Schizosaccharomyces pombe: one gene and its partners. The protein of the gene in region 4 binds, or shares a complex with, the protein of the main gene of each other region. Each region holds a gene or a part of one and is shown on either strand. Other genes may lie near its edges. The genes, in order: mug178, rsm27, mrps16 and SPOM_SPBC3H7.04.

Region 1 (7,706 bases), 1.6 Mb from region 4:
TTTCGTGCGCCATCCCGTATTTTCACCAAAGCAGTTCGTGGCATGCTACCGCACAAGACGACTCGTGGAAATATCGCTCTGAAAAATTTACAGGCATTGGAGGGTATCCCTCCACCCTTTGATAAGCAAAAACGCTTAGTTGTTCCGGCTGCGCTACGCGTCTTGCGCTTGAAGCCTTCTCGAAAATATTGCACTATTGGTCGCCTTTCTTCCGAAGTAGGATGGAAGTACAAAAACATCGTTTCCAAGCTCGAAGAAAGAAGAAAAATTAAAAGCGCTGCATTTTATCAGGCCAAGTCGGCTAACCAGAAACATATTAATGTTGCTAAAACCAAATCTTCTGTTAACGAAAAGCTCGCTGTTTTTGGATATTAATTACACCATGTGATCTGCTAGATATTTTATAATTGGAAAGTGATGACAGAGATGTATCCAACCGTATTGTAATAATTTAAAAGAGTTAATGAAAATAGAAAAGTTTTTCCAACGTTCATCATCGACAAAATGCTATGATAAACTAAAAAATATAGTTTAATCCATTAAATGTGTTTCAGGAGTCATTGGCATACCTAGGTTTTCTTGATCTGCACTATCAAACTTGCCCGAGAATGTATTTGAATTGGATTCATCTGAAAATGGAGAAGGATTCCAAGAATTACGATCGTATTGTTCCATTACCCTTCTAGTTTGTGATTTCTGATGAAAATGATTGTATTTCTTATGATTAGACTCTCGTGAATCCGTATTACTAGGATTAGAGTCACGAGTACGCAATCGTAACACTGGACTAGGCTCACAATATGCAACTTGAGCCCCTTTTACGAAACGATTAGGGGGCTTATGATATATAGATGAAAGTGTGGAAATATTCAGCATTAGTTGCTCCGTGGTATCGGGATCGTACATTCCAGTTCCAACATTCACTGGAGGCATGTTAGCAAGTATGACTTTTTTTGCTAATTCAGGATTGGCTGACAACATTCGGGAGTATATTATACCTCTGTCGCGCAAATCGGGGTCATTAACTTCATCAGTGCACCACTGGAGGACATTGGTAACCATATCGGCTGCAGCAGTTGGTTTTTTTAAGAATACTTTAATCACCGCAGTAAGCAAAGTGAGTTGAATCTCCAAGGGTTCATCAAAAAAACCCTTTAGATAATCATTCAATAGCGTTATAGAATCTTCAATTTCTTCGGCATATTGGCCAAGTATCCAAATTACCGCAGACTTTGCATCAGGTTCATCAAGGGAATCCAAATTTTCGTAAAGAATCGGAACCAATGATTTGTAGCTTCCTGGGTATTTTCTAAGAATATCTCTAATGACAATAACTGCTTCTTGAATCACATAGGTGACTTTCGTATTCATCAATTCAATTAAGCTATCTATGCAGTCATTTTTTCGTTCCTCAATTTTTATGGCAAGGTAACCAATACATTTCACTGATTTTCGAACAAGTTCGACGTCAATCTCCGAGGCGTACTCGACGAACTCAGGAAGAATTTGATCTAAGTTGTGAATATCAGCAATTTTGGTTAGGATATCCAATTTTTCAAGCTTAACGTAAATTGGGTCATCAAAGTTACAGTAAAAAAAATGTATATCATTTGCAAACATTTCTGGGCATTGTTCCAATATTATCTGAATGTTCCTCAGAATTACATATTGTGTTGCAGATGATTTTCTAGCTAGCAATGTGACAAGAGGAGGTTGGGTCTTCATAAAGTATTCTTTAACTCGATTGTCATCTTTCATGTAATTAGTTAAATAAAGAATAACCTTTACAGCCCCCATGCACACAGCTGCATTGCCGTGTTGTAACCAAGGACTAATACGTTCAGCGAAGCTTTCGGCCTCGCCAGGCTTTTGGGGAACATAAAAAATTAAAGCATCCAAAATGGCAACTTGCAGCCACCTGAATTATTAGTATAAATTTATACAGCGAGGTTAAAAACATACTCCGAACAATCAGTGAGGCTCTTAACAAGTTTATTAGATATTTCCCTACTGAATGTGAGTTTAAATCCAGTAGATGAATTTACGATATTCATTAAAGCGGCTAAAGAGTTGGCAACAACCTGATATAAAAAAATTAGTAAGGTAATAGAATCGTATAACTTACAACCGAAGATTCATCACTAAGCATTTCTTTCAAATGATCGATTAATCCTGATGACTCCACCATTTTTTTATCATAGGAGTACAATTTTGCAATCCCAATGGCTGCAGTTTTTCGAACGTAAGGATCTGTATCATCTAATAACCTTACAATTGGATCCATAGCAGCAACCCAAAAGTTTTTGATGTTTACCGATGTCAATGTTCTTAAAGCTAAGGACCTAATCATAGGGTTGGAAGAATAAATGTCCTAAAAGAGGTTAACATCCATCATCATAAGAGATGTACAAATTAGAAAATTACATTCAAAATAAGTTTAACAGCTCTCTTCGCCTCTGTGGGTTTCACGCTGTCAATTAGTAAAAAATAAAGAAACTTTTACAAACCTCGCGTAAATTTTCAAGTACAAATAGCATAGTTTTTTTAATTCTAGATTATTAGATTCCATAGAAGATATCACCGATGGAAACAGTGAACTCATATCATATCCATAAGATATGCCTGCAATTGCTTTCTTTAAAGCAGAAATTCGTTTGTTTGCAGATTTGTCCTTATTATCTGAGCTGAAGACTGCTAGCAAATCAGCAGCGGTAGACTTTTGTTTAAGTTAGTAATTCCGAATTTTATGAAAGTTAAATTACCGAAAAATGACTTGAACTACTCGACATTATAACAACATGCTATGTACGTGTTAACATTCAAAATGTATTGTGGTATAATACTGAGTGTTATTGTACAAAGCAAAATAACGAGTTACAGTAAAATGCTTGAATAAAAGATTGTACGAAGAAAAGAAAAATAATGATTGCTAATAAAACACGATTTTATCTCTTAGTAGGTACTAGAGTAACTGGGTAATTAAGAAGCAAATTCAAAAGACGTTTACAAAGTTTATCGGATTTACAATTTAATACACTGTCGGGAAGCGTTGATTGATATAAGCTTATTAATTTATTTATGCAAATTTTTTAGCACGTGCGTACATAATATAAACCAAACAGAGTTCAATATAAACGGACACCCTTAGGAACATCGTAGGTTTCCAGTAATGCGATACGGCCATAACGAAAATTACAAGAACCAAAATAAGTTAAAATCACTCAAAAAACAAACAATAAAAATTCAATCTTTTTTAAACAAGAATGGTGGGAATAATAAACAAGCTTGTTGACAATATTATTTCCTAGAAAAAGTAATAGGTGTATAGAATCTCTCCATGAACAAAAAGAGGGAGAAAAAAGCGGTTCACTACAATGCAAAATAACGGTTAAAAATATTTAATGATCTTAAAGGCATATCATGATAGCTCAAGGAGAAAGTAGTCCGTGCAATTAATTTCCCTAACTCAAAAACTCAGGATCGTAAGCAGATGAAATAAATGTTAAATATGGATGGATCTTCATAATAGACGATTATCAACAGACGAAAACAATATTAAGAAACAATTCCTTGAAAGAAAAGCTATTGTTTTAAGAAAACCGAAGTGACTCACGGGAGAAATAATCGTTTTACTGTTTTTTATTGTCAATGTCAACTTGTATTATGGTATTAAATACTCCTATTTTCTCGTGTGATATTTGGAATGGTTTTACCGGTTTCATCGACATTAAGAGATCGAATTACGTATCGATTTTTTGTTGAAGTAATTCCTTTGAGAGAAGTAGCAGCTATAACTCCTGAGACACCAAATAAACATTCTTTAGAGTCGGGTGCAAATTTTCCGTAAGTAAATGGTAACGGGACTTTTTTAGTTTGAATAAAGGATACTAAACTTAGGCGCTTCTTTTCAGAATCAGAAAAAGAATCTAAAAGTTTCAATTTGGCGTATAATATACCTGGTGGAAGTGTAGGTCTGGATTTAGGATTTGAGCTTGAGAAAGTGTTGTATTTCTGTAAAAGGTAAGGGGAAATTTGTTCATAATCATTAAGCGGAACAGGGAGCTTAAGGTCGTAAATTCGTTTCAAGGTGCGTACGAATCTGTCACTGCTGATGAAGGCACACTGATGCTCGAATGTGTCAAACTTTTGTATGGAAATATGACGGTTTTTTAGGATCGGTAACTTCCTCTTAGCTCCCCAATCGCCGCGAAATCTTTGGCATTTCTTCGCAGTAATTGCTTGTAGGATGGGAATCTTCGTATCATAGACATCAGGGGAGTTCCTCGGCAAGTCTGGTCTTGCTAAACTAACTGCTCGGGAGCATCTCAACAAATCAGGAAACTTCATTATAATTTTGATTAAAGATATACTTTGTCAGAAACATCCAAATTCTGCCCAATGTAAACCACCACCGAAAAGTAACTGCTGAACGAAAGTGGGTACTTCTAATGAGTCAATATTGTCAATATCAATAGCAATCACTCAGAAAACACACGAATACGACTGTAATTTTTTGATGCCAGCTATTTATATACTTTTGTCGTGCAATCCAGCTTGCGAAGTGTTTTACATCAAGTGTGCACACTCATGAAAAGTATATACGAGATGAAATTCTCTCTATTAATATACAAAATTATGGCCAATGTTACAATAGCTAGTTTGAAGTTATAGAATCGCTTTCGTTAGGAGGTCATGTCGGCATGTTGTGTAGTAAACGTTCACTCTCCTCAAGTAGCAATGTTACTTGACTCGCACACTGTTGGATAGAGAAACAGAGTGCTTTAATTGTTTACACTCGAGTAAACCATGACTGAGTACGATTTTAGCTTGTACTTATTAAATTTAACGGGAATTTTTTTTATAATTATAAATTAGTAATACTAAAGGTATGGCTATCATAAGAAAAGTGAAACTTATAAAGGTTAACTTTCGGTAAATTTGTGTGTTCTTCCTTGTTCATTAATGAGTTTATCTCTACTAAACTAAACTATATGATTTTTCTAGTCTAAGTTTATTTACTGATAATTAATGAGTTGCTTGTCAGATCGTTTGTTGTTTATATTTGTCTATTATATTTGATCTTGAGATTCTGTATATCATGTAACAGATTTTTAAACTTTTTCTTTGACTATTTGTGTGCTTATTAGCTATCTCAAAGGCTTAGGTATATTATTACTTGTTCAATACATTATGATTTGCAATAATGCAATTGTTCCAGTCACTATTCGAGCTTGAAGAATAAATTATACGAGAATGAATACATTGCTTTAATACAATCGCTATTAAAATGTTTCGGTTCATATTCTACTGTAAGCGTATTATTCAACATAGATTACCTGACTACCAATAAAAATTTTGCTTTAACACACCACCAGAGGACAGGCAGGTTCCCTTACTACCCTACCACTTCTGGGTGTCTTTCTATGAACGTAATGGTTTCGTTTAATCAATTACGAAACTATTTTCTAGAAAGCAACAGCTTACGGCCATCGAAATGGCTTTTTCAGTCGTATGGTACTTCAAGTTCTGCGAATATCCTAAATGGAAAATTATTGGCAAGGTAAGATAAAGTTTATATTCTAAATTTTCTCTATGCAGATGAGCGTGCATTTCTGTGTTTGTCTTTGACGATAAAATTTTGGTGGTTTGAAAATTGATTTGCGTACATTGCTTAATTCCGTATATTCTTCAATTTTTTTGTCGATACTTAGAAGTTAAAAAATTGTATTGGGCATTGCAGCACGTTTGAGGTTTCATCAGATTTTTTTGCTCTTAAAACTTTATATTTTTATTTCTCTTTGAGGTTACTAATGTAGCGACTAATTAGAAAATTACAACGTTCTGTTGCTGAAGAAGTGCAGGCCTTGAAAGCTAAGGATCGAAACTTTAAGCCGGCGCTTGCCATTGTACAGGTTGGAAAACGTGAGGATTCTAACGTGTACGTTCGAATGAAAGAAAAGGCGGCACGATTAGTTGGTATTGATTTTAAATACTGCCCGTTTCCTGAAACAATCCAAATGCCTGCCTTGCTTCATGAATTAAAAAAATTGAATGACGATCATACGGTTCACGGTGTCCTTGTCCAACTTCCTCTTCCCAAGCATCTCAATGAGCGTACAGTTACTGAATCTATCACTCCGCCGAAAGACGTTGATGGATTTGGTGCATTTAACATTGGTTTATTGGCAAAGAATGATGCTACCCCCATTCATTATCCCTGTACCCCGAAAGGTATTATGGAGTTATTAAAAGATAACAAGATTTCAGTCGCTGGATTGAACGCTGTAGTTCTGGGAAGAAGTGACATTGTCGGAAATCCAATTAGCTACTTGTTGAGAAAGGACAATGCTACAGTAACTGTCTGTCATTCTAAAACTAAAGATTTAATTCAGCACATTTCTAATGCTGATTTGGTTATAGCAGCATTAGGCAAACCCGAATTTGTTCGTGGTGAATGGTTGAAACCAGGATCTGTTGTGGTAGATGTTGGCATAAACGCTGTTCAAAGAAATGGAAAACGCGTTTTGGTTGGCGATGTGCATTTCGAATCTGCATCCAAAGTTGCTAGCAGCATTACTCCTGTCCCTGGAGGCGTCGGACCGATGACTGTTGCTATGCTAATGGAAAATATTGTAAACGCTGCCAAGATAGCTAGAACAGAAAACATTTATCGAAAAATTGACTTAAATCCTTTAGAGTTAAAGAAGCCTGTTCCTTCTGATATCGAAATTGCTAATTCCCAAGAACCTAAATTAATTAGCAATCTTGCTAAGGAGATGGGTATCTATGACACAGAGTTAGAAAATTATGGGAACTATAAGGCAAAAGTAAATCTTGCTGTTTATGAACGTTTAAAGCACCGAAAAGATGGGAACTATGTTGTTGTAAGTGGTATTACTCCTACACCTTTTGGCGAAGGTAAAAGTACAGTTGTTGCTGGTTTGGTTCAAGCTATGGGCCATTTGGGTAAGCTTGGAATTGCTTGTGTCCGTCAGCCGTCCCAAGGGCCGACATTTGGTGTTAAAGGAGGCGCCGCTGGTGGAGGCTACGCACAATTTATTCCTATGGATGACTTTAACCTTCATATGACTGGAGATATACACGCTGTTACCGCAGCAAATAATCTTTTAGTCGCGGCTCTTGAAACTAGGATGTTTCATGAAAACACACAATCTGATGCTGCCCTTATAAAACGTTTGATCCCTGTTAAAAACGGGCGAAGAGTCATTCCACGAGGATTGATCGGTAGGTGGAATCGTATTTGCGCATCTCATAACATGGATCCAGAAGATGTTAATAACGCATCACCGGAATTACTGAAAGAGTTTGTGCGGCTAAACGTAGATCCTGACACCATCGAATGCAACAGAGTATTGGACGTCAATGATCGATTCCTCCGTTCTATTGAGGTTGGAAAAGCATCAACTGAAAAGGGACATGTCCGTAAAACTTCTTTCGATATCTCTGTGGCCAGTGAATGCATGTCAATTCTGGCTCTTTCATGTGATTTAAACGACATGCATTCTCGTTTATCCCGTATGGTTATAGCCAACGACAAATACGGAAATGCTATTACTGCTGGCGACCTTGGAGTTTCTGGAGCATTGACCGTTTTGCTTAAAGACGCTATCAAACCTAACTTGATGCAAACTTTGGAAGGAACACCAGCGTTTGTTCACGCAGGACCTTTTGCAAACATTAGCATT
Region 2 (8,802 bases), 1.2 Mb from region 4:
GTTCCTTCATACGTACTACTGTTTACCGTTTTAGGATTTTTTATTTTCATTCTTTTAGAACGAATCGCTGAATCCGAAGCTCGTAACTCAACGTCAGTTAGCGGTGGCATTTCTGCAAGGGAACAGCTTTTACGTCGAGGAAGTTTTTGATTTTACAACTTGAGTTCTAAACACCGGAGAGAGCAGTATCATCTCCTGTTATATTTTTCTTAACAAAAGTTTTTTGTATGCTTCTAAAGTCTGTTATTACTTGTTTGTCTTTTTTATTAAACACTTCGGAATTGACTTCAGAGCATTCAATATTATATTTCAAATGTCTACCACAACCATGAATATAGCTTCGGCTCCAATTGAAGTGAAACGGATATATTGGCCCAAAAGTACGATCTCTTATACCGATTCTGGTTACTTAGTTGGTTGGAAGTACTCTACCAACGATCTTATCGTTGTGACAACAATTACTAGTTATCAATCCTTCGCTAATTTTTTAGTTGATTATTGCAAAAATCAAGATCAATCAGTAGATATTAAATCTCTGTGTATATTAGGCACGTTTAATTGCTCTGCCGATATTTTGCCGGGTGACAAATATGAAATTGATTGTTGGATCAAAGTGCAGCAATCGACTGAGCTTTCTCATCCCCGAGTTTTCGATTCGGCTAGTACGCCTTTAAAAATAAATCTGCATATAATTTATTATCATCCTCCGCAGCCAAGAAAAATGCAATTTCTTTCCCTTGAACCTCTATCGCTTTTATTGTTAAAAGATAGTTTTATTAACAAGTCAAACCCTGAATACGAAAGCATGCAACACCAGCAAATACTGTTAAAAAAATTGAAATTGCACTTTCCCCGACGCAAAGAAAATAGCTGGAAAAGGAGTCTACGCTCAGGCTTAATTGAGCTTCTTAATCAATCCTTCGAGGTTCGCATGTTAACACATGAAAATAATAACAAAAAAAATTCATATGTTTTTCGACTTTTTGATCGTGTCTCGTCATCAACCTTTTATTTTTTTAATTCGCTGTTTGCTTACTTTATCATATTATTGAGGATAATTAATGAGGTTATACTCTTGGCGATTAATTACCGACCGATTCCTTTATCTTATAATATGATGGATATTTTCGTTTCTGCTCGTCAAGTAGATTTGAGGTTGCAACAAGCGTGTTTTTGGCCTGTACAATATATGAAATTATGGGTTTTTCGGAAAAGCAAGCGCGTTGCGATAGAGGATTACAAAGAATATATTAGATTCTATAACAACCTTTGGTTGGTTGCGAATGACATGATCTTTGGGATTACAATGAGTTCATTTATTTTAGAGAATCTTCATCTGGTGGTAAAATTAATAGAAAATATCACATTCGAGTATGCGATAAAAAACGTTCGTTCTATGGTTATATGGCTCGTGGATACTCCTGCTGGATTAAAACTAAACAACGACATTTGCAAGTTTATTATGAAGCTTTCTGTATGGGTTATTGACGTATGGAGTAATTTTCTTTTGCATTGTTTGCCTTGGACTCCATTTTTGGTTCAAGTTGTCGCTATTTCTGGGTTTGGGGGTGCTAGTTTAATGATCGCTTTAATTTCTGATTTTTTAAGTGTTATGACTATTCATATACATTTGCTTTATTTGGCTTCATCACGTTTGTATAATTGGCAGCTACGTGTAATTTATAGTTTGCTGCAGCTTTTTCGAGGAAAAAAAAGAAACGTTTTACGAAATAGAATCGACTCATATGAGTATGATTTAGACCAACTACTTTTAGGAACAATCCTTTTTACGGTACTAATATTCTTCTTACCTACAATATATGTTTTCTATGCAGCATTTGCATTAACACGAGTATCCGTGATGACATGCTTGGCAATCTGTGAAACTATGTTAGCCTTCCTGAATCACTTCCCATTATTTGTTACAATGTTACGAATTAAAGATCCTTATAGAATACCAAGTGGGCTGAATTTTGAGATAGTCAGCTTTGAACCATTAAAACAAGACGGCTTCGCAACGCTATATCTCAATTGCAACTCCAAACCGATGTCTCTTGGATCCATGTTTGAGCATTATCGGAAACTGGCGCGTAGGTTAATTTCGCATTACCTTTCAAAAACTACTTTGATTAGTTTGCTCGTAGGTTGCCCAGTTCCAGCGATACCTGCTGAGCAACTCTACAATATCCAGTACGCTATGCTTCCGACCAAAAGAATATCTATTAGAAAACTGCGAGATCTTCTTTTTCATCAGAAAAAATTTCCTTACGACTGATCAAAATGTTAAGTATTGTTGCACACAGTTGATATATAATATTTTTTGTTTATGAAACAACAAAATTTTTATAATTAAACTTAGTTTATCAGTTTCGTTCAAAGCTGTTTAGCCGTTACCCATTTGATAATAATTGGAAAGAAAATGTGCGAAATGTAACCGCAAAGTATTAGAAAGGCACAATTTTCAATTATTTATTTTTCTAAACAGGAGTTAGAAGGTTCCTAATTCGGTTTTATAGTAAGCTTTACATACTTTTTGACTTGGAGGCTCCTTTTCCTTGGCGTATTCTCCTAGTATTTTAATTAGCTAATTTCTTGTGAAAGAAACATTCAATCTCAATTAACAACTAACATACCCTTTCCTGATTTCCATTCGCAATTCCTCATCACTATCGGGAAATGTTTTATCATTTAAAAGGGTCCTTAATTGACGATAATTGATAGTTGCGGGATAGTAGCTCTTCAGTTTTGCTCCCTTCAGCTCTTGTACTACAAATTTGCGACCCGTTCTCGAGTTGTTTGATTTATACTGAGTGCCAAATATTTTTGATGAGAGAATATTTAATTCTTCCAGGATTGCTTTGCTAGCCATGATTTTATACCAAAAATTAGGGAAGGCTCCTAGGGAATGTGGTTGCTTAAAGTTAAAGGCAAAACGAAATAAAAACAACAATAATAAGGCTAAAGACACTACTATGATTTCATCTGCAAGGATTCTGAAATTCTGTTATTGTAAGTATTATTAGCGCAAGTCTACTTAGATATACTACAGCGGATGATGTGGGATAAGTAGTTCATCAACCCCACATGGAAACATTTTGGTGCATTGACTAAAGATAGACCTGTAAATAGGTTTAGTGGGATCAAGTACTTAATATTCTACGCTTTAAGAGGTTACGAGTAGTTAAGTAGAGTATAATAGACACCAAATAGTTGAACATATTCATATAGCGTATTATTTCCATTAGCTGTAATATAATATAATTGAAGTTCACTGGCTTTCAGATTACGTTAAAAAACTTACACGAATTTAGTAATATATACAATATAACATATATTAAGGATAAACGAAGCAAAACTATCCTGAAAGGTAGATATACCAACCCGGATAACCAATTGGAAAGATGGTTGGAAAAATCATATCTTCGCAAATAATTGCAAAGAAATTAAAACCATCTAAGACCCACACACAATAATCTGAGTCATTAAAGACAAGCATCTTAGATATTTACACTTTGTAGATAATGTAAAAATAATAGAAAGCGAAATACGTAGATATCAACTATTCGGAAAAGGGAAAAGAGCGGGTTTTATTAAACAGATGACTCAACAATTGAGCTTGTTATTTAATATACAAGCATTTTTTAGCAGCAGCAACAACAACATCGGCATTTGGGACAGAAGCAGCCTCAACAGGATGACTATAAGGCATGGGAACATCTGCCATACTTACACGTTCAACAGGAGCATCAAGATAATCAAATGCGTCAGACTCCATAATTTGAGCAGCAATTTCACTACCAATACCATGTTGACTATATGCCTGGTCAACAGTCACAATACGATTTGTCTTCTTAACACTGGCCGCGATAGTATTGATGTCTAAAGGACGAATACTACGCAAGTTTATAACTTCAGCTTCAACACCATAGTCAGCCTTGAGCTTGTCAGCTGCTTCTAAAGCAGTAACAACAGAAATAGACTCACCAACGATGGTGATATCTTTACCGGGGCGCTCCACCTTAGCAAGGCCAAAGGGAAGCACAAAGTCCTCGCTCAACGCTTCTTTCGAAATTGGAAAGGTTTTACCATAAAGAATTTCGTTTTCAAGTACAACAACGGGATTAGGATCACGAATAGCAGCCTTCAACAAACCACGAGCATCTTCTGCTGAGTAAGGAGAAACTACTTTAAGACCAGGGATACTACCATACCATGGAGCAAAGTGTTGAGAATGCTGAGCAGCAACTGCAGCGGCAGGCCCATTAGGTCCACGGAAGACAATAGGACAAGCCTGAATACCACCAGACATGTACAGGGTTCTGGCGGCCGAGTTAACGATATGATCGATAGCCTGCATGGAAAAATTGAAAGTCATAAACTCACAAATAGGACGTAAACCAGCAAAAGCAGCACCTGTTGCCAAACCAGTAAAACCCATTTCAGTAATGGGAGTGTCGATAACACGTTTAGGACCAAACTTGTCTAATAAACCTCTAGATATCTTATAAGCACCATTGTATTGCGCAACCTCTTCGCCAATCAAGAAGACACGATCGTCACGTTTCATTTCTTCTTCCATTGCACTGTTCAAAGCATCACGAACGGTCATTTCCTTCACTCCATTGGAAGAAGAAGAATAGCGCTTTGCGATGGTTGAACTAAGAAGTTTCCAAGAACGACTGGTCCCAACAATTTCACCAAACTTTTGAAGACGAATCATTTTAAATTCCCTCAAACTTCTTTTTAACTTCGTTAAAAATTAGGGCTATCCCGCTGTGTTGTTGTATATGTGTAGTGGGCAAAGTAGAACAGTGTGATGGTAAAATATTTCGAGTTGGCTTATGGTACAACAAATTAAATACAGTACGTAGATGATTAACAAGAATACTACCACTTTTATAAATTTTGTGTTTATTGCAAATGACAAAAGAATGGTTAAACAGTCTGATATGATTATAACCTCTTAGTAGTATCATTTGTTTCATCTTATTTTTGCTAAATAGTGAAATGTGTACATACTGAAGCAGCTGCAATAACGTGCTTAACCGATAAAGATAATTTGTTATCACTAGATACGGTGCTCAAAATTGATTGCCGCAATAGATCGTTTGAACTCCTAAGGGCGATATCCGAAAAGCAGAGCATAAACACCGACAAAAAGGTGATGAACGAGAAGTTAAAACAGCCTAAAGTTGTGGTTCAAATTGATGCATAATTGCACGGATTATTGATTCCGGTGCATCAGTGACTATGAATTTTGAAGCCCTCAAATATACTTAAAGCATTACTTTATTTTCATAACAGTAAATTCATCACCATATGATTTGTACTAGCCATGTAGAGATAAAAGCTGCTTTGTATTATGATAAACTACATAATTCATTAGCGAAAATAAAAGTAAACAATTTCGTTAGCTTGACATGGAATTTTTTTTATTTAATGGTCAACAGCATTGAGTATAAACAAGCCTTGAACCAATGTATGGTTTCTGATGATTAAACCAACAACAGATTGAATAGTTATAGTTGGAAATTGATGAAAGAAAGTTCCTTTTTTAACTTCGGACTTTTTATTGACAGTATTATTTAAAAGTTATATTTAGTACACGCGTTATAAGGGTTTCTTTGGTACGCGAAGTCAAAAAATTATTTCTTGCATTATTAAAGATTGAAGATAGTTTTATAAGCTACAGACCAATATTTAATTTGCAGTTTTTCACATTTTCTAAAGACTTTAACAAAGGTAAGGCGTTTTTAGAGATAAATGTTCAGACATAAACTTTTCGACAAAAGTACATAGCTTAACTACTTAAAGTTTTCCTGGTTTTTTCCGCCTTTGACGTTCAATGAGACCGTAAATTCATAATTTGGCATGCTACAATCCTCTTTTTACAATAGATGCAAACCAACTGTTGTAGACTTTTAAACGATAATTAATGATTGCAATCCCAACTAATAAATGTATGTCCCGTGTATAGCATCTTTGGTAGGTATTGTGTCATAACTGCAAGTTTATTATTTCTCATCTAAACAAACCGACTCACAAACTTCTCAGAATATATGTTTGATGATAGAGGAAAAAAAGTTTACTTTGTATACTTGTTATGAATAGTCATACGCTGTATTTTTTTTTCTTTTTTTTTTGGATAACACTTATGAAGGACTAAAGCATGCGGCCGTAAGATATCATGGATACACAGTGTTTATGTGTAAGCATTAATAAAGAAAATAATCCGCTTTCAATTTTAATACTCGCGATACATTTTGCAATTAAAAAGGATGTATATTTTATTAATTATAGTCAGTGTTTATTTGATACATAATATTATTTTCCATGGAAATATAGAGAATATCGTTATAATATATGCAATGCCGATTTTTGACATAATGTGTATGATATGATATATATATACAGCCAACAGTACTGACGAAATTTCACCCAACTTACCATTTTATTGTGGTTTTTTAATAAACTTGTACAGTTACTTTTTGTACGAACCATTGATTAATTTAAGAAAATGGCCTCTTGCTGTCCAACAAGTCGTGGTGCCGCAGCTTCTAACAAGTCCTATACCTTTAAGGGTAAAGAAATTGAAAACTTTGGAGGATTGACCACCTATGTTGTTGGATCTACTTCCAATACCCGTGTTTTGATTGGTTTCATGGATATATTTGGTCTCTCTGATCAAATTAAAGAGGGTGCTGATAAATTGGCAGATGATGGCTTTACCGTCTACTTACCCGATTTCTTAGAGGGAAAGCCGTTGCCAGTTACTGCTTTACCCCCTAAGACGCCAGAGGACCAAAAGTTATGCAATGATTTTTTTTCTACTAGAATTTCTCCTAATTTGCACTGGCCGAAACTTGCTAAAGTTGTAGAAGCTGTGCGCGCTAACCATGGACCAAATGTTACTATTGGCACTTATGGATTTTGTTGGGGTGCTAAAGTTTTGGTCACTTATCCCGCTACAATTGATTTCGTTGGAATTGCTAGCTGTCACCCTTCCTTCCCTGATAGCGCTGATGCAGCCAATGTTCATTGTCCTGTATTGTTTCTTTGCTCTAAAGACGAAGATGCTAAAATCATCAAAGAATGGGAAGAAGCGTTCAAGACAAACCCCGCTTATGCCAAGTCTTCCTTCGAAACATTCAGCGACATGTTCCATGGTTGGATGGCTGCTCGCGCAGACCTTTCCAACCCCGAACAAAGGAAGCGCTTTGATGAAGGCTACCAAAAGGTTTCTTCATTTTTCCAATCTTTAATGTGAGTTTGATGTTTGTTAGATAGTCATGATTTGTTATCGCTATTGATTTTTTTTAATCCAATTATTAACTAATGACCTAAACTATTCGATACAGTAGCTGTACGCTTTACAATACAAACAGGTGAAGCTTCCAATATTCACTTAGGCTGTAACATATTTTGAGGTTTGCTCAACCTAGATGCCTTAGTACTGTTTCCTACAAATTTATATGTTTTTTAGGATCGTGAACAAAATAGCTTTTAAAATCAGTTAAAAATTTTAGCCACTGTTATTTTTTTGCGAGTAACTCTACGCTTCACTGCCTATGATATGTTGCATAGAGATGAATTCATTTTGTATTAGTTTTAATTCTAATATTTAGTTTTATTTCTATTTATGAATATAATGTTTTTATTGTATATAAATCAAATTTTATTATTTACGTCCTGCTAACTTAGTCTCAGTATATTCTGCCAAATCCCGTAATTGAAAGCACCGAAAACTTTTTCGAAAGGCGTTTTTATGTATCCGCATCTCCCTTGTAAAATACCAGGGCTTTCGTTGATTTATGATGATGAATCGAAAGTTGAAAAATCGAAGCAACTGTCTACAAACGCAAGTTCATCAAATTTTGTAAAAGAAGATCAAATTCCTTCAAATTTATCTATCGATAATATCAATACCCCACAGGGCGACCCAATCGATAAAAACAACTTGAATACTAATACTGAAAATAATCTACCGAACATAGTTAACTTTCAGAATATTTCTTCAGCGAATTCTGGCGAAATTAAGCAAAAAGATAATGAAATTTTATTTTCTTCAACAGAAGATATAAACCAACACAAGGAAAACTATCAAGATGAGAACAAAATCGACTTATTGGATGTTGCATTGGCTAACCCAAAGGATTGTGTTGTTCCATCATCAGGTTTGCTCATGCCAAAAGAGGAGTTCATTAGCAACGAAGAAGTTGGCATTCCAGCTACTAATTCATCCGAGAAATCCAATGTAAAAATCGCTGATGAAATTGCGGAGGTTACGCATAGTAACTCTTCTATTGGTAAATCGTCTGCTGATTTAAGTTCAGACTCATCTTCAGATTCAGAGAGTAATACTTCTTTTTCCGAAACTGATGTAGAAGAAGAGAAAGCAGAGGAAAAGTCTGATGCGGAATCGATGGCTCCTAGTACTCCTCCCAAAACGGTGAATGAGTTACCGGAACAAATTTACGAGAAGCCAGAAATAGTACTTCAGCCTAATTCGTTAATAGAACCATTGGGAAAAATTATACAAGTCTTGAAGCGAGAGGTAGTGGTGAAAAGTGATATCGACGATGAAAAGATTGTTTTTGATGAAAAAACGGTTTTATGTTTTGAAGACAGAAGTATTATAGGCTATATTCATGAGACATTTGGTCCCGTATCTAGTCCATATTATATTGTCCGTTTTTCTACTGAAGAAGAATGCTCCGCGATAAACGCTTGCATGGGAAGACCGGTTTTTTATGTGCCTACAATGGCTAATAAAATAGATCCTGAACCGCTTAAGTATATAAA
Region 3 (7,653 bases), 1.3 Mb from region 4:
GATGAATATCCTTGAGCGACGAGTGTTGGGAAGGACACATAGCGAAGCGAATACCAAACAGTCGTTTTGGATATGAGTCAAGGAGAACGAAAGGTATTTATAGGTATTTAAAGAATGAAAAGTTTCCAAGACAAAAAGAGAAAGATTAAAAAAAGAAAAAAGAAAAAACACTCAGTAGTAATGGAGAGAATTCGAATTTCCGAACTTCTTGTTGATGAAACGCTAACCGCAAAAAAAAATTTAACAATACACCGTTTAATAAACGAGAAATTAGAAGAAAAGCGGGATTATTTCAAAAAAGGAGAGGAAGCGAAAACTAAAGGAAAGATAGAATGGGTGGAAATTGTAGTAGGAAAGCAAATAAAATTGGAACCCAAGAAAACGCCTATAGTAGTTGTCTTTGAGCGAAGGAAAGTATAAAACAACAAAAAATTAGGTTTTTCCTCTTTCAAGTTGAATTATTATGAAACCGGGTTGAACAGGAATCTTCAAGGTAAGCGACCCCAAGAACGCACTCGTTCACGAACTAACCAAGTAAACGAGACAAGATGAACAAGCTTGACAGGATAAACAATGAAAGAAGAAAAACTTATAAAAACTAAATATATAAAGGGGAATATAGTAAAAATTGGCCCCCAAGCTGCGTTATAAGGAATTGACAGCAATTATATGATGACGGAGAAGAAAGGAGTAGAAACTGACGCAAGGCAGGATGTAAACGTCAAATCTTCAGGTGTTCCGATATGTAATGAGTCTTAAAACTGCTACTAGCCTAAAACCTAGCACCGTTCATCCACAAAGCGATGTCCAAAGAAACGTTTCAATCCGATGTTCCTATTTTGCTTGAATCCGTCGACACAACACACTGACTTGACAGTAACCGGGAGTACGATGGCAAAAATCAATGTCAGTGGATCCAGCAATTCGTAACAACACCAAAAGAATGGGCAATTCAGAACAAGATCAAAATGCTAACTAAAAGAAGCCTAGGTGTTGGGAAATCTCAAAATACCAATTAACCGAACTCCCCAAACAACGATTCGTACGAAAGCAACAAAAACCCTCTAAGATTCAATCAATAGCTTTCTTGATCACTAGAAATTTTCAAGAACGGATGGAGTTAAATATTCAACAGGGATGCGCAATCTACGCGAGTCTTAAGTTATGTTTTGCTGTCGCTAAGTAGAATTTATGGGAGGGAGGAAAAAGCTAAAAGTAGACGAAGCCGCTTAAGCTAAGGAATGTCTATAGCGATTAACATTACGTTATAAGGATTGCGTGGTGAAAAGAAGGTTGGCAAACTACGCATTACATGAGTAACGTTCGTTTATGGTATCTCGTATACGCATTCTACAATCGCTTACAGTATTCCTGTTTAGCAAACTCGATACAAGCAAAGCATACCTTGAACAACGTGGAGAATGCTCGCTTTGTAGTATTCGTGTTACCGTAATTCGTGCTGTATCTCACTCCGGGGGTAGTGAATATGATCAATTCACACTGCTTATAAAGAGAAATAGAGTCAGCAGGAAGTAGAAAGATAAATGGAAGGAAAAGAACGTAATTTCTATCCCAGAAAACGTTTGAAATGATCTTTTGAAATTATGTTTTGTTTGTAAGTATGAACGAAAAGCAAGGCACAACGCTATTTTATAAACAACGGAGTGCACAATACGATACGTCCATCTGCTTTCCATCCTTGATACCTGCATTGTCTTCGTGTTTACTCAAGTTGCTCTTAACCATACTCCTACCACCAAGTGGGAAAGACGGGATTTGTAGGACTCGTTGAAAACCGGCTCTTCTCAATGGTAGTAAAAATTCGTTTGGCGCGTCATGGCGTCAGAAATAGACCTTTTTACCATATCGTAGTTGCGAATGCATGGTAAGTAGGATGAAAACATACCTAGACGGTTGTTTCGTGTTTTACAACACTTGTAGCGGTTCACGTAAAGGGGAAAGTTTTTGTACAGGATTTAGTAAGGGAGATGGCTTGATGTGGGTTATGAAAGAATGGAAGATAAAATGCTAAAAGACTGCTTTTTTTTGACGGTTCCTTTGGCTCTAAATTGCGATCTTTTTTAGAAGCTTTAGTTTTCAGGTATTCCTGGATGCTCTCATCTATTTAATCTAGTCTTTCTACATAGTATTCAAAATGCCAAGGACACCAACCACAATTTTTCTTATTAATTGACTATTTATTGTGGTTTGGCCCCCTTGGCCTCTATTAACTGTTTACATATCACCTGTACATCCTTTTTTTTCTCCTTCATCCATTCCTGTCTTTTGGTTCGACTTTGTTAACTCAATATAGGAAAGCACCTCAAGCCAAACCTATCGAAACCATCGGCACTTTTGATCCCATCCCTAAGAAGATTGATTCTCAGGACTCCATTCCTCGTATAAAAGATATCCAGCTCAACGTTGAACGTTTTAAATATTGGATAAGTGTAGGAGCACAACCATCCGACACCGTCCGCTCTTTAGCTGAAAAGGTATGCCCAAGCTCTCTTTATCTATTTTTATGACTAGTCCAAATTCGTTAAACTTTCTTTCAACTCTCTTTTTTGACTAAAATTTTCGACCCGCTTGCGATATACCGCTCGGGTGATTTTTCTCATGTTCCCTAACTGCCCGGCTTTCCGAAATGGAGTGTAGGATCTCATCCCTGTTTTCGTTACGATTTGGCTACTAATTTACTTGTTTTACTTCTTTCTATCAATCTATCAATTCTTACTAACGTTACTTTTTTCACTTTTAGTTCCAGTTGCTTCCTAAAAAACCCGTTTCTTGAAACTCACTATAATCGTTATTGCTCAAGTCATGACATTTCTTTTTTACGACCACTTCACAATGTCTAGATATCTTTAACACATTTTTTATTTTTTTTTACACTTTATCTCTGTGATCACGCTAATTACCTCTCTCAACTAAATTTCATAATTTTTGACCGATTTTACCCTTCCGTACTGTTTTTTTAAAACCACGTTTTTTGGCTGAGTGCGATATTTGTTTTCTTTACGATTCTTTTTATTACAATATCACCTTTTTTTTTTTAATTCCTTCTCCACATTATCGTTAGCGTAGTGATATCTTAATTTCTAAATTTTTTAAAGTGTCTATCTATCTGAGGTTATGCGCTAGTTGAAAGCGCTCATAATTTGATGCTATCCATTTGTAATTACTTGTTGCTTTGTACTTAAAATTGTTTGGTAATGAGAAATCTTGGTACCAATATTTTGCCTTTGTAATTTTTAGCTTTTGCGTTTATGGTTAAAATGGATCTTCACTTTATACTGAAACTTCATTTCGTTTACTGATGTTATACCCTTATTTTTTTAGAAACAAATTAACAGCTTCATTTCAAATATTTAGGTTAATATCGGTGTATCTATTATTGCTTAGATTTTTGGACTTTCCGTTCGGAAACGGCAATGCGCTTTGTTGCTTTCCTGATTTCCTCATTCGTTTAATTGGAACTGAACACGTTCATTAATAGCCAATTGCAATAGTTGTACAATTCTAACAAATCATTCCTGTACTTCCGTTGAATTTATAAAAGACTTGTCTCAAAGGATTTAAAATCGTTCAACAATGAATATTAACAACTTAATCGTTTGTAACAAAATATTATAAATGGTGAACTAGCCTTATAAGCTAATTTATTAACTGTACCAGAAGCAATTTACTTTGGTATTATTACCATATTTCATCAACCAGTCCAACTCTACACCACTACATTTATTCATGCACCGAACAGTGTAATTTTCAATTAATGCATTAAATACAAGCTAAACATCACAAACCAAATAGTATGTAAAAATAAACTTGAAAAAGAAAGCGAGAAATCACTTAATGAAAAAAAAAAATCTACTACCAAATCTCGAAATGAGTATAGATCAAATTGCAATGCTTTTTCCCTGACATGCATATGTGTAACCGACATATAAGTAATAAACTAGTATACCGCATAGATAATCTAAATGAAAAGTGCTGATTTCGTACTAAAAGCCAACCGTTAAAAGAACCTTTAGTAAAATCGTTGATCGTAAAACTTCAGTTGAACGTTTAAAGAGCGAAAGATACCTATATACTTTCAAGCATTATTTTAAGCCCTGATTGCACAACCAAGAGAGCTTTTGGGCCAATCCTCCCAAAAGTAGAAAAAAGGACACTGTTAAGGACGGAAAACTATAGCAGCCCGAAAAGCACACATAAATTTAAGAAACAAAAATATAAGTAACACAAATTTATTCCATCCGTTTGACAGGTTGTTCTCCTGCTGGCAATGAAGGATGAGTGTCACCAATGTAAATCCAGAAGCCTGGTTCAATAACTTCTAAAACAGCTTGGGCTAAAGCATTCCTGGCATCGCTATCATGCTCTTCCCATTTGAAGTATCTTCTGGCCCAAACTGCTCCCTCTGCTTCTTCTTTCTTACGCATATCACGTTGTGATTGTTCGATTGTAGACTTTTTCGAGCTTACAATATCATAATTACCACTGGCTAAGGCAGCGGACACTTCTTTCCAAACATTTCGAGACTCCCAGTCTCCCATTTCTGATTCAGGCTTGACGGTAATAGGAGTAGCTTCAAGACTAGGGATGCTTAAGAAAAAAATGGTACTTTTCAGACTAGGAATAGTCAATTTAGATTCGCCAGTCCATACACCTTCAACAATATAATCAGGATCTTCATTTTTCTCAAAGATAGTAGCCTTGAAAGAATTCTTGGTACCTCTGAAGTAACCTCGGCCGGAATAATCGATCTTTGTAATATAATTTGTGTTGCTAACAATATAAGTCGAACCGTACAATTCAATATAAGGTGCCATAAACCACAGTCCTTCAAGGGAGATATTGGGCAGAGTTATATAATATGTCTCATTATACTTTTCAAGATGAACACGAAGCTGGCCGAGTTGGTTGACGTATACAGTTCGTCCTGAAAATCCACTTCTGTATTTATTATGCGTATCAACGGTGATACCGGCTTCCTTACAAACCACATGAGCAGCTGATTCAGGTCCGTGATGGGATACTTGCTCGGCAGTAAGCTCCACTTTACCCTTGCTAGAATCCCATGACCCATAAAAAAGCTCTCCCAAAATAGGGTTCAACGGTTTCTTTTCAGTACCATACTGAAATTTTGGTTAACATTACATGATAAAATTTTATAAAGACGTACGTTCTTATTCCGGGATGCGTATTCACGACTAAGACCAGTTATGTACCACTTGAGAACAGCCAGCATACGTTCTTTAGGAGTGGGAAAATCGACAATTGTTACGAATAGCTCAGGAAACTCAAACCAATAAGACATGTATTCGAGCAAAGATGTCCCTGATAAAATGAAAGAAGGAGCTGAAAGTGTGGACAAGTCACCAGTACTGTGAAGTAAAGTTAGTATTCAAATACAGATTAAAAAGAGCAATCGACATGAGAAAAAGACAATTCCTCTCTGAAAAACAAAAAGAAAAAAACTAGAAAGTTATGAGATGGAAAATTAAGAAATGGCGCTGGAAAGTCCTCTTTAATGTTAGACTCGAAAGGACAATAGCACATATCAATATGAAAGCTAAAGGCATGACAAGCAAAGAACATGAGTAAAAAACAATTTAACAACAGCAAAAATAAGCACTTGTCCATATTTTGACGCGTTATTTCATTATCTAAACCAGCCAGCCATTTGAAAGCCGGGCAAATTGCTGGAAATAAGACAATTATAAGCAATTTTACGCTTAAAAAAAGTTCCTTTTATATTTCAAATTTTTACAAAAATCACATAGATTTGAATGAAACTAAAAATCGAATGAACATTTCCCGTTGGAAAAGAATGCATCGTGTTCAAATTTACCTTTTTTTTTTCTCAAGATACCATATTTCCAATTTTGTTTCTTTTAACTGAATATACTTACAATGTAGCCAAGTTCTTGATGAACCCCTTTTTTGAAGAAAAAGTAAGTAAAATGTTACAATGTCAAAGAAAAAAGTAAGATTCCTTGCATAAGGCTGAAAGCAGATTGATTATGCCTTCAATCTTATAGGACTCAGTACAATTCATACCATCCAAGTGCTCCTATCATAAGGAAAAAACATGTTAGTAAAATGTAAACATTTGATTAAAGAACATATGTGGTACTTACTTAGAAATGGGTTCATTACCAGATTGCACAGTCTCTTCCATTTGTTCTGATGTTTCCGACATTGTCGATCGTGTAATTAAATGCTATCGTGTTTGGTAAAAGAATAAAATCGACAGACCATGGATTGGGCGATGTTGGTTCGACTGCTCTTGCTTAACGCAGTCCTACTATTCTCCTACGTCAAAATAGTGTCATTTTACAAAGGGTACACCATTCTGCACTGTAATTATACTGCAGTAATGACTTTATTATTTAAATTATTTAACGTGGTTTATCGTGGTATATAAAAGCTGCAAAATGGTCAGTAGAAGGCACGAAGGATCGTAAATAAATGACTATTTATGAGCAAGCAAAATACATACGAAGCTTTTCTTATTTGATTAGCATTCTTTAATACATTATGTATAATATTTTTTACATAGAAAGGTTGTATGCCTTGCATATTTATACCTAGCAGATTCGAAACTGCCAGCTGGTAGACGCATGTTTTTACGACTTTTTAACATAATCGATGTTTGTTGAAACTAATTGTTTATTTAATTATTTAAACAGTTAAAGTACAAAAAAACTTCAAGCGCGCCTCCATTTCTAACAAACTACTACTCATTATTGTCAAAGCAATCTATTCAAATGTACCAAACTATCTGTTATAATTACAAGGTTATGGTGGGAAAAGTAATCTTGTTGGGAAGAATTGATTTTAACATAAAGTTAGCTATTGCCGAACGATAAATCACATGTTCGTTTCAACAAAAATGACATTTGTTGCAAAGGTATAAAAAGTTGTGCGAAATAAGAAAAGACAAAAAACATGATCTTATGACAAGAAATGTTAAAAAAAAAAAAAAAAAAAAAAAAAATTGGGATGGGATGAAAAGAAAGGTATGCAGACATAAACAACAATAAGCAAAGGGAAAATATAAGGAGAACGAAAGAAAACAACGCAAAAGAGATAACCAAACAGATGGCTATCAAATTAATGAATGAATCAAACGCAAAATAATCAAGTAAACACCACAACAAAATCTAGGTGATTCATCTTCATTTAAAAAGGTCGGAGAAGAGACCTAAAGAATACAAGCACACTTAAATTCTTCTCAAGAGCTCACAAATAAGAAACGGAGCATAGAAAACAAATGTTAAGCAAAACAAAATCGGTTGAGAATTAAGGAAATAAAAAGTTTTCAAATATGTATCTTTGCCAAAGTAAATTTGAACAGTTATAAAGTTTTTGTACAAAAGCTCGAATTCCAAGGAAAAGTTTAAGTTACCATTAAAAAATGTGGTAATATTTATCATAATGTTCGGAGACATTGATTGGTGTAATTTCCGTACTTTGGGATTCAAGAGTTTCTGGTATACTAATTTGAGAATCTTGGGTAATAGATTCTGTTAAAGGCAGCTCCTCCTCATTCAATCTAGCTCTTAAAGAAACACCACGGCTACGAGTATAAGATCGGGACAAATTTTTCTTGAGTTGCTGAACTTGTTGCTGATCATGCACTTC
Region 4 (7,317 bases):
CCAATTAATACTTACGACATCATTGAGAAGAAATGTTATAAATAGACCTTAGCTAAACTGAAGGAACATATACTCTCAATTGCAAAAATGGTTACTAAAACCGATGTATTACGGTTAGTTGTATTACAAAAATTTATTTAAAATGTATGTTAGTATGTCATCAATTATTCATGCTTCTTGTCCTTGATTATTGTTATATATCTTTTGAGCGCACATCAAATAAATTAAACGGATTGGTAATTACAAAACAGACATGCTGAGTTTGTGTAAAAATCATCGCTAATTCTAGGTGGTATATTTAATCTATCCTATAGAAGAAATTACCTTTACTCGTTAGTAATGTCTCGTACCATTGACACAGTCTAATACATTAGCAATTAAAAAAGACTGTGGCATGGCCTGTAAAAAATACGCATCTAGCTCTTATTTTGGATAAAAATAAATAAATATGTGACTTACTGAAAAAATTGTACCAGGGTCAGATGAAACGTTGAAAATTATTCGCTTATAGCCCTGATCACTAATGGCATGTAATCCAAAACTAGTGGATAGTGAAACAATCTTCTATTTTAACTATAACCAGATAATATTAAATTTAAAAAAAGTATCCGTAATCCATAAATCACTTGTTACTGTTGTGTAGAGCCTGAAATTGCAACAAGACCGGGCTTGGCAGCATGTATGCATACTTGGGTTATTCCGTCTAAGTTTCAGCAGTTCTTCCTTAATATAGTAGTAATCTTTTTGTCTCAAATCCCATATTTCTTCTAGCTCAGCCCCAATGGTAGGTATTCTTCAAAAACATTTGTATGCAGCTAGTTATTCCCTATTTCGCTTGTAAGCATATGAAACAATCCCAGTAGCCTCGGCTAAAAATAACCTTAAACTTTTTTTTATTGCCAAAGCAGCTTTTTGAACGATGAAAGAAATGAAGCTTCGAAAAAAATGCAGTGCACTTACAATTTTAGTTAACTAAAACTAAAAATAAATGGTAGATGTTTCCAATCCATGAACGGTGTTATGAACCTGTATCAATTCCTAATTAATCGTTAGCGTATGGTTTCATAAACGATTAATCACGAATGTTTAGATCAAATTTGAGTAAGCTTTTGAACAATTAGGCTGCAATCTAAACGGTTACATAAAAAATTTGAGGGTCTCTTGAATTACTGAGACAAAAAAAAAAATCGGGCTGTTGTGGGAATCGAACCCACGACCACCATCACCCTAAGATGGTATCATACCACTAGACCAAACGGCCACAATTGTCATTTATAAACGTTTAACATATTTACAGTTCTTTCACATAAAAGTTGTGATCATTCGAATATTAAAGTTATTTTTCTTCTTCTCAAGTCAATGAATCTTCTTATAAAAGACGAAGTAAATTTGATTGAAAATGAGTCATACAGCTTACTTTTAAATTGAATCATGGTCATATTGGGAATAAAGGCTTTTATAATCCACCGTTTAAACCCGTTGAACGCTTTAAGATTACTTTCACAATTTTTTTTGGGAAACTTGTTAACAAATTCATTGTAATACTAGTTAAGTTTCAACGAAGTTTTAGATTTCTGTTAATTCAACTTCAAAAATTTATATAGTGGTATAATGGTATATATCGCAACAAGGAATGCAGAACTTTCATACCGATATTTTACTTGCGCCAGTAGGGCTGCTTACCTCTCTCTGAGCGGTCTGAGTGGAACGCCTTTACCAATATTGAAGTTGAAATATTTCAAACATTCAAAAACGTAGCATCTACACTATTTGATTTTCATATTTTGTTAATACTTAATGAATTAATTATACAGTTTGGTCGTCTTTGCCAATTTCTTAGGATTACAAAATTTAAACCCGCATACTTGATTTCCATTGCAGTTTTTTATACCCATTCCCTAACTATTACCTCAATTTAACAAATGAGTTTTCAACAGCGCTTCGCCAGAGCGTTGGACGTGGGCTACAAGAATTTTTTGTCAAAAGATGCGGTCAGGAATATCTTTGCTTATGACAACCACTTACGAGGCCTAGTACAAAAAGAATGTAAAATTCATCAAACTCCGTATCGTGTGCCTTCAGATTTAATGGTTCAAAGCGCTAGTGACCCAGCCCGCGCTAATTTATTCAATTACTCTAGCCAATTGGTAAATCATGATTTTTTCTTTTCCGGCCTTATTTCTCCAGAACGGCCCTCTGCAGATGCAGATTTAGGAGCTATCAACCTAAAGCCTGGAATTGATGCATCCTTCGGTTCATTTGGTGAGTTGAAGTCTCAAATGGTTGACGTTGGCAATTCAGTTTTTGGTGATGGTTGGCTGTGGTTGGTATATAGTCCAGAAAAATCTTTATTTTCCTTATTATGCACGTACAATGCGTCAAATGCCTTTCTTTGGGGAACAGGATTTCCTAAGTTTCGTACCAATGCAATTGTACCGCTTTTATGCGTTAACCTTTGGCAATATGCGTATCTTGACGACTATGGTTTAAATGGTAAAAAAATGTACATTACAAAATGGTGGGATATGATCAATTGGACGGTCGTCAACAATAGATTCCAAGCTACGCGCATTGAATCCCTTTAGCTAACCCGACTGAATCCTGCACAATTTTCAATCTTTTTCTACTTCTCTCCCCTCCTCTCCCGGCTACGTTTTGTATGCAAGTGATCATGGTGGCTTACTATGGGTTCACTTTATCTGATTGAAAAAACCCATACTATTAACAAATCTTATAAATAAATAAAGTTTTGTAATTACTGTTGGCAAAGAATGAGAATTAGAATGCTAAATGTAATGTTTCCCTCTATATATTATTTAACATTCCAACAATATCTACGGAAAAGTTAATTTAGTTGAACCATCCATTAAATGTATAAACTAGGACACATAGCAATTATCTGATACTTTAGAGGTTTCGGAAGGTCAAACATAGACATTAAACAGTAAATTAAATTTGCGAGCATGTTTTCCACTTAAATTTTAATAATACGACTCCCATACCATATGTTCCATTAATAAGCATTTCGATTATTAGGACCCAATAATGATATTTGCGCAAGAGGGGAATCCTTTTTTCAAGATTAATAAGGAAAGGTTGAATTAAAAGCTGAAAAAAGAAAGCAGGTGAACAGCGTCCAGAAATTGACCAATAGGCAAAGTCATGGAATAATGCTGAAAGGAAAAAACATGAACAACTTGCCAGAAACTTACTTCCAGTGAGGGCAATAGTTGGATCCCAAGCAATCACTCTGAAATAGGGCTTGGTACAAACATGCCAATCTCTGGACCAAAAATCATTAACCGAGGTGGTTTTAGATACATTTCCCATCATTAATGGATACTCTGCAATATCCCAAATTCCCAGAGGAACAAAAATAATGGCGAATAAATAGTACAAGGCATTAATAAACAAATATGAAAAGAATCCAGAGGTTACGCAAAATGCGACTTGAATATACCATGGGTTGGCTGATATAGGAAGCAACATCCAATTGGATAAACGAGTTTTAAAACAATTGACAAAACAAAATGCACCCACATAGACAGCAGTACGTATCCCCAAAGATTTGTAAGTCAGCACTTTTCTACAGTAAGGGGGAACCACGTCGTCAGTCCAACCATACTTGCGCAAAGAAAGTGCATAATCAACAAAGTTCCACCTAGCGTTACGAATGAATGGTCGACGACGCTTAACAGCGCTGATTTGTACAGGATCGTTGCGAGAAGGTACCATATCTCGCCAACTCAAAAAGCAAGTTCGAAGCGACATCATAATGAGAAAGCCATATGCCAAACCAAATGTAGAGACATCCTTATAACCAACATGGTGATAGACAGCACACATGCGATACGCCAGTATAACCGTGATGGAACATAACAAAGTGCAGGCGATTTTCCACCGGCGAAAAAAACAAAAGGTTTCGACAAGGTATGTAGCTAAAGGGAATAGATTGAACAGAAGGATGTTATAAATACCTGTGACTGGAAGTTTGGAAGAAGGATCGAAAGAAAATGGATACATGAAAGTAATTGAATTTTAGATCGTGTTCGTAGATGATCAAACGCCGAAAACTTTATAGTGGAGGAATAGGAAAGGAAGAAAAGCAAAAAAGTAAGAAAGAAAATTCGCAGTTAAAACAAAAGTGAAGAAAAAGAACAGATAGGGTAAGACAATACAAGCAACACTAGACGAGACAAGACAAGACAAGGCGAAACAATAAGAAAAGGCAAACCACACTCTATATAACTATGAGACTTTATTTACAATCAATCAGTCAACCGACAAAAATATGAAAAAAAGACAATAATGATAAAAGAAAATGACAAAATGCTTATTGAAAGAAACAAAGAACAACGATGATGATGATGATGATGATGAAGGCAAAGAAAAAAAAGTGTTATAATATAGTTGTTAACAAAAATAAATCAGACACTGTGGAATTACAAATAAATCAGTAATACTTGCTAATTGCATGAAAAGGAAAATAGCATCCCGTAATCTTCAATTGCCCTTCAATCAATCCACGATTTTTTAAATCTGGAAATTTTCGCACAACAGATTTCAGGTACAAGGTAGTCAACCCAACAAGAAAAAATCGTCTCTTAAGATCGATTTCTGCCTGAAAATACCGGTTTTCTCGACACCTGGATCTGTAAACAAAACCCCCAAGTTAGGGTCGCCAGAAAAAAATGGGGTGGTTAGGAATATTACAAACCACCAACGCAAACGACAAATAGAGAGCAAGAGCCCAACAAATTTTGACCACCGAGGATTTAATATGAAAATCGGTAACCTTCCTTACAGTCCAAATCAATTAAAAAAAATAATAATGTTTGGTAAAAACTCGTCGTAGTAGCACAGTAACTTAATTCACAGGGGTCAGGAATATAAATTGGTCAATGTGTGTACTTTATGTAATTGCGATACAGGAAGAAGGAAAAAAAATTTTCTCACTTATTTAATCACCGTTGTGTTTTCCTTGTGCTGCTTTTTTTTATAATTGGCTTACCTAGAGGAATTAGTAAAAATAGAGATAAATTCGGAAGTCCGAGGTGGCCGAGATATTTATTTATTTCACTTACTTAGCGGACAAAATAAAATCCTTCTCTAGTGCGCACGCGGAAATTAGCTTACCAAGCAAAGTTGATCACTATTTCACCTAGCCGTCCCTTTCCAAAGTCCGAGTCGCAGGGGCAGCTAAAAAGCGCAACGCTGGAACTCTGGATGGTCGGATGATAGAAAAAGTTGTAATTGGAGGCACATTGACTTCGGGTAAAACAGATTCCGAAATGGCGAGAGCAGCACTTTGCCATCCGCCGGCTGCAACTGAATAGCAAGTTCCTGAAAAGTGAATTTGATGTGGAATGGAAACGATGTTGCGTGCGGTGCGTGGATCAGAAACAATGCTGGGATCAGATGTCTGTTCTTGCAAATGAAGAGAACCCAAACCTAAACACCCACAATAACGTAATTCAACACCCCACGACCATATGGAATGATCGCTTGTTAAGTAAAGATGATGATGATCGCCATGCGCCAATTGCTTAATTCCTCGGTTCTGGAGAAAGTCGTGGATAACCGGGTCATCATCGACCTGCTTGGTATTAGCATGACCCATGTAAACAGTATTGCCATCGTCCGATAAACATGTGAAAGTTTCAAAGCTGCCTGCTAAATGCCAACCTTGATGGGGGTCGTGCGAAGCGAACCTCTTCAATTCTCTTCCTAGCGTGTGTTGTGTAGCTTGGTCCAGGTCTAAACGAAACACGGCGCCTTTTTTCTGAGGTGATGCGACAGTATACACTAGGAATCCTGCGCAGTGAACATAATCGTTCAGCACGAATTCCTTCATCGATGCCTCTGGCTGGAAAAGTTGCGCTTCACTTTCTCGTCCAGTGTGCCAGACAAGAAAGCCAATGCCCGGCACATACGCCGAATGCGAGTCCCAACCTGATTTAAAATTAGCAATTCTTCCGCGATAGGCTGATAGCATATTTTGTTCATCTGTCAAGCAAATTCGTGTTTTTAGAGATACTTGATACAAGTGTCCCGTCTCACCGAGTGCAAGACAAAACTCTCGACCAGCATGGATTTTCACAATTGGCTCTAAATCTCTCATCAATTCGGGCCCAACATTGTTTGGTACCCCCGTAACATATAAATTTCCGTTTTCATTTAATAAATACATCCCATAACCTCTAAATTCCGCATAGGGAATAGTTAGTCATTGTAGTGCAGTCAAATAAATTCCTGTATCTATGCGCTTACCCAACTTGAACCTGAATAGTAGAACGAACGTCCTTCCCAGTCAATGCACCAGGACGATCTCGAGGATACTGATTTGTATTGACGACGCGGCCCAAATAGTTTCTTATCTGTTGCCCCCATGAGTAAGCGTATCCTCGGTCTTTCCATACAGCATAGGGTCTTTTGTAATTATCATCAACAACTGGGACTACATTGGTGAGACCTTGGACCCGTGCACAAAATCGATGCCAAATTGTTTTGTCGTCAAAAACATACGAAAGTGACTTGCATGTTTCTGACAAATGAACTATATCTTTATAATCAAGATATGTACTAATTTCTAGCAATATATCGTAAGAAAGCTCCAGGAATGGTGATTTAGCCATAATGAATCTCGCATGGGTAGTAGTATATGAATACCTCTGAATATATACAAGGGAAACGGTGTTGAAATACGTCAAAAGCACATGTTTTCTGCAACTCTTAATAACTAGATACAATTGTATTATTTACAATTAATAAATGATAATAAAGAAAGGTCTATGAAACGAAGGTGTAGTCATTGCACGAATCAATTTCAAAGTCTATCAGCATAACGAAGCAGATTTAAGAGTAAATGATCGGCTTTATAAAAACCAATTGAGTAATTCTTGTCTGTTTTAAAGAAGAAAGCTTCTGAACTGCCCCTTTTTTTTTAAGCATTCATTGCACACCCTTTCCAATGAAGCATTGATCATACCAAAATTGTAAATTAAGGAAAAAGAAAAATAAGAGTATCAAAAATAAAGAAGTAGGGTATATAAAAGACGGCTCCTACTACAGAAAAAAAGACCACGCGCACAAGTAAAATATTGCTTTATAAAAACCAAGCCACAGTAGCTCAGAGTTCTTGACAGCGCCTTGCGATTGAAAAATTCTTGGAAATTCTAAATTAATTTTTGTTTTCCAATAGCTTTTTTTGTTGTTGCTCATCAATACCCAAGAGGTAAAGAGCGTTTTGCAAAGATGGAAGATTGATTTTCGAATCAGCCTAATTAAAAAAAAAAATCGAGTTAGTAAGATCATTAA

Evidence for each region.
Region 1: SPOM_SPBC3H7.04 (region 4) and mug178 share a complex: the UniProt entries of both Schizosaccharomyces pombe proteins name them as parts of the mitochondrial small ribosomal subunit.
Region 2: SPOM_SPBC3H7.04 (region 4) and rsm27 share a complex: the UniProt entries of both Schizosaccharomyces pombe proteins name them as parts of the mitochondrial small ribosomal subunit.
Region 3: SPOM_SPBC3H7.04 (region 4) and mrps16 share a complex: the UniProt entries of both Schizosaccharomyces pombe proteins name them as parts of the mitochondrial small ribosomal subunit.

The regions. Positions count from the first base shown.
Region 1 is NC_003423.3:3,443,544-3,451,249, forward strand, and holds mug178 (mitochondrial 37S ribosomal protein bS1m), read right to left. Parts: upstream 4,682-7,706; 5' UTR 4,348-4,681; coding exon 3,670-4,347; 3' UTR 2,973-3,669; downstream 1-2,972. Other genes in the region: rpl1603 (60S ribosomal protein uL13), read left to right, coding at 1-375; AP-2 adaptor complex subunit Apl1, read right to left, coding at 532-1,918, 1,963-2,081, 2,126-2,371, 2,425-2,470, 2,508-2,716, 2,763-2,789; ade9 (trifunctional formate-tetrahydrofolate ligase/methenyltetrahydrofolate cyclohydrolase/methylenetetrahydrofolate dehydrogenase), read left to right, coding at 5,424-5,560, 5,828-7,706. UniProt on the Schizosaccharomyces pombe protein: Component of the mitochondrial ribosome (mitoribosome), a dedicated translation machinery responsible for the synthesis of mitochondrial genome-encoded proteins, including at least some of the essential transmembrane subunits of the mitochondrial respiratory chain.
Region 2 is NC_003423.3:3,066,461-3,075,262, reverse strand, and holds rsm27 (mitochondrial 37S ribosomal protein mS33), read right to left. Parts: upstream 3,010-8,802; 5' UTR 2,870-3,009; coding exon 2,634-2,869; intron 2,569-2,633; coding exon 2,531-2,568; intron 2,478-2,530; coding exon 2,470-2,477; 3' UTR 2,276-2,469; downstream 1-2,275. Other genes in the region: gpi1 (pig-Q), read left to right, coding at 314-2,275; pyruvate dehydrogenase e1 component beta subunit Pdb1, read right to left, coding at 3,620-4,720; SPOM_SPBC30D10.14 (dienelactone hydrolase family protein), read left to right, coding at 6,518-7,267; snoRNP assembly factor Naf1, read left to right, coding at 7,766-8,802. UniProt on the Schizosaccharomyces pombe protein: Component of the mitochondrial ribosome (mitoribosome), a dedicated translation machinery responsible for the synthesis of mitochondrial genome-encoded proteins, including at least some of the essential transmembrane subunits of the mitochondrial respiratory chain.
Region 3 is NC_003423.3:554,085-561,737, forward strand, and holds mrps16 (mitochondrial ribosomal protein subunit S16), read left to right. Parts: upstream 1-1,740; 5' UTR 1,741-1,808; coding exon 1,809-1,885; exon of another isoform or gene 1,886-2,314; coding exon 2,315-2,495; intron 2,496-2,761; coding exon 2,762-2,794; 3' UTR 2,795-3,164; downstream 3,165-7,653. Other genes in the region: sre2 (membrane-tethered transcription factor), read right to left, coding at 1-40; osh42 (oxysterol binding protein), read right to left, coding at 4,251-5,141, 5,189-5,390, 5,919-5,944, 6,067-6,079, 6,147-6,208; Ca(2+) transporter Rsn1, read right to left, coding at 7,420-7,653. UniProt on the Schizosaccharomyces pombe protein: Component of the mitochondrial ribosome (mitoribosome), a dedicated translation machinery responsible for the synthesis of mitochondrial genome-encoded proteins, including at least some of the essential transmembrane subunits of the mitochondrial respiratory chain.
Region 4 is NC_003423.3:1,871,165-1,878,481, reverse strand, and holds SPOM_SPBC3H7.04 (mitochondrial 37S ribosomal protein mS42), read left to right. Parts: upstream 1-1,700; 5' UTR 1,701-1,922; coding exon 1,923-2,585; 3' UTR 2,586-2,828; downstream 2,829-7,317. Other genes in the region: SPOM_SPBC3H7.05C (uncharacterized protein), read right to left, coding at 2,950-4,023; F-box protein Pof9, read right to left, coding at 5,162-6,200, 6,271-6,635; phosphoserine phosphatase Ser2, read right to left, coding at 7,181-7,279. UniProt on the Schizosaccharomyces pombe protein: Component of the mitochondrial ribosome (mitoribosome), a dedicated translation machinery responsible for the synthesis of mitochondrial genome-encoded proteins, including at least some of the essential transmembrane subunits of the mitochondrial respiratory chain.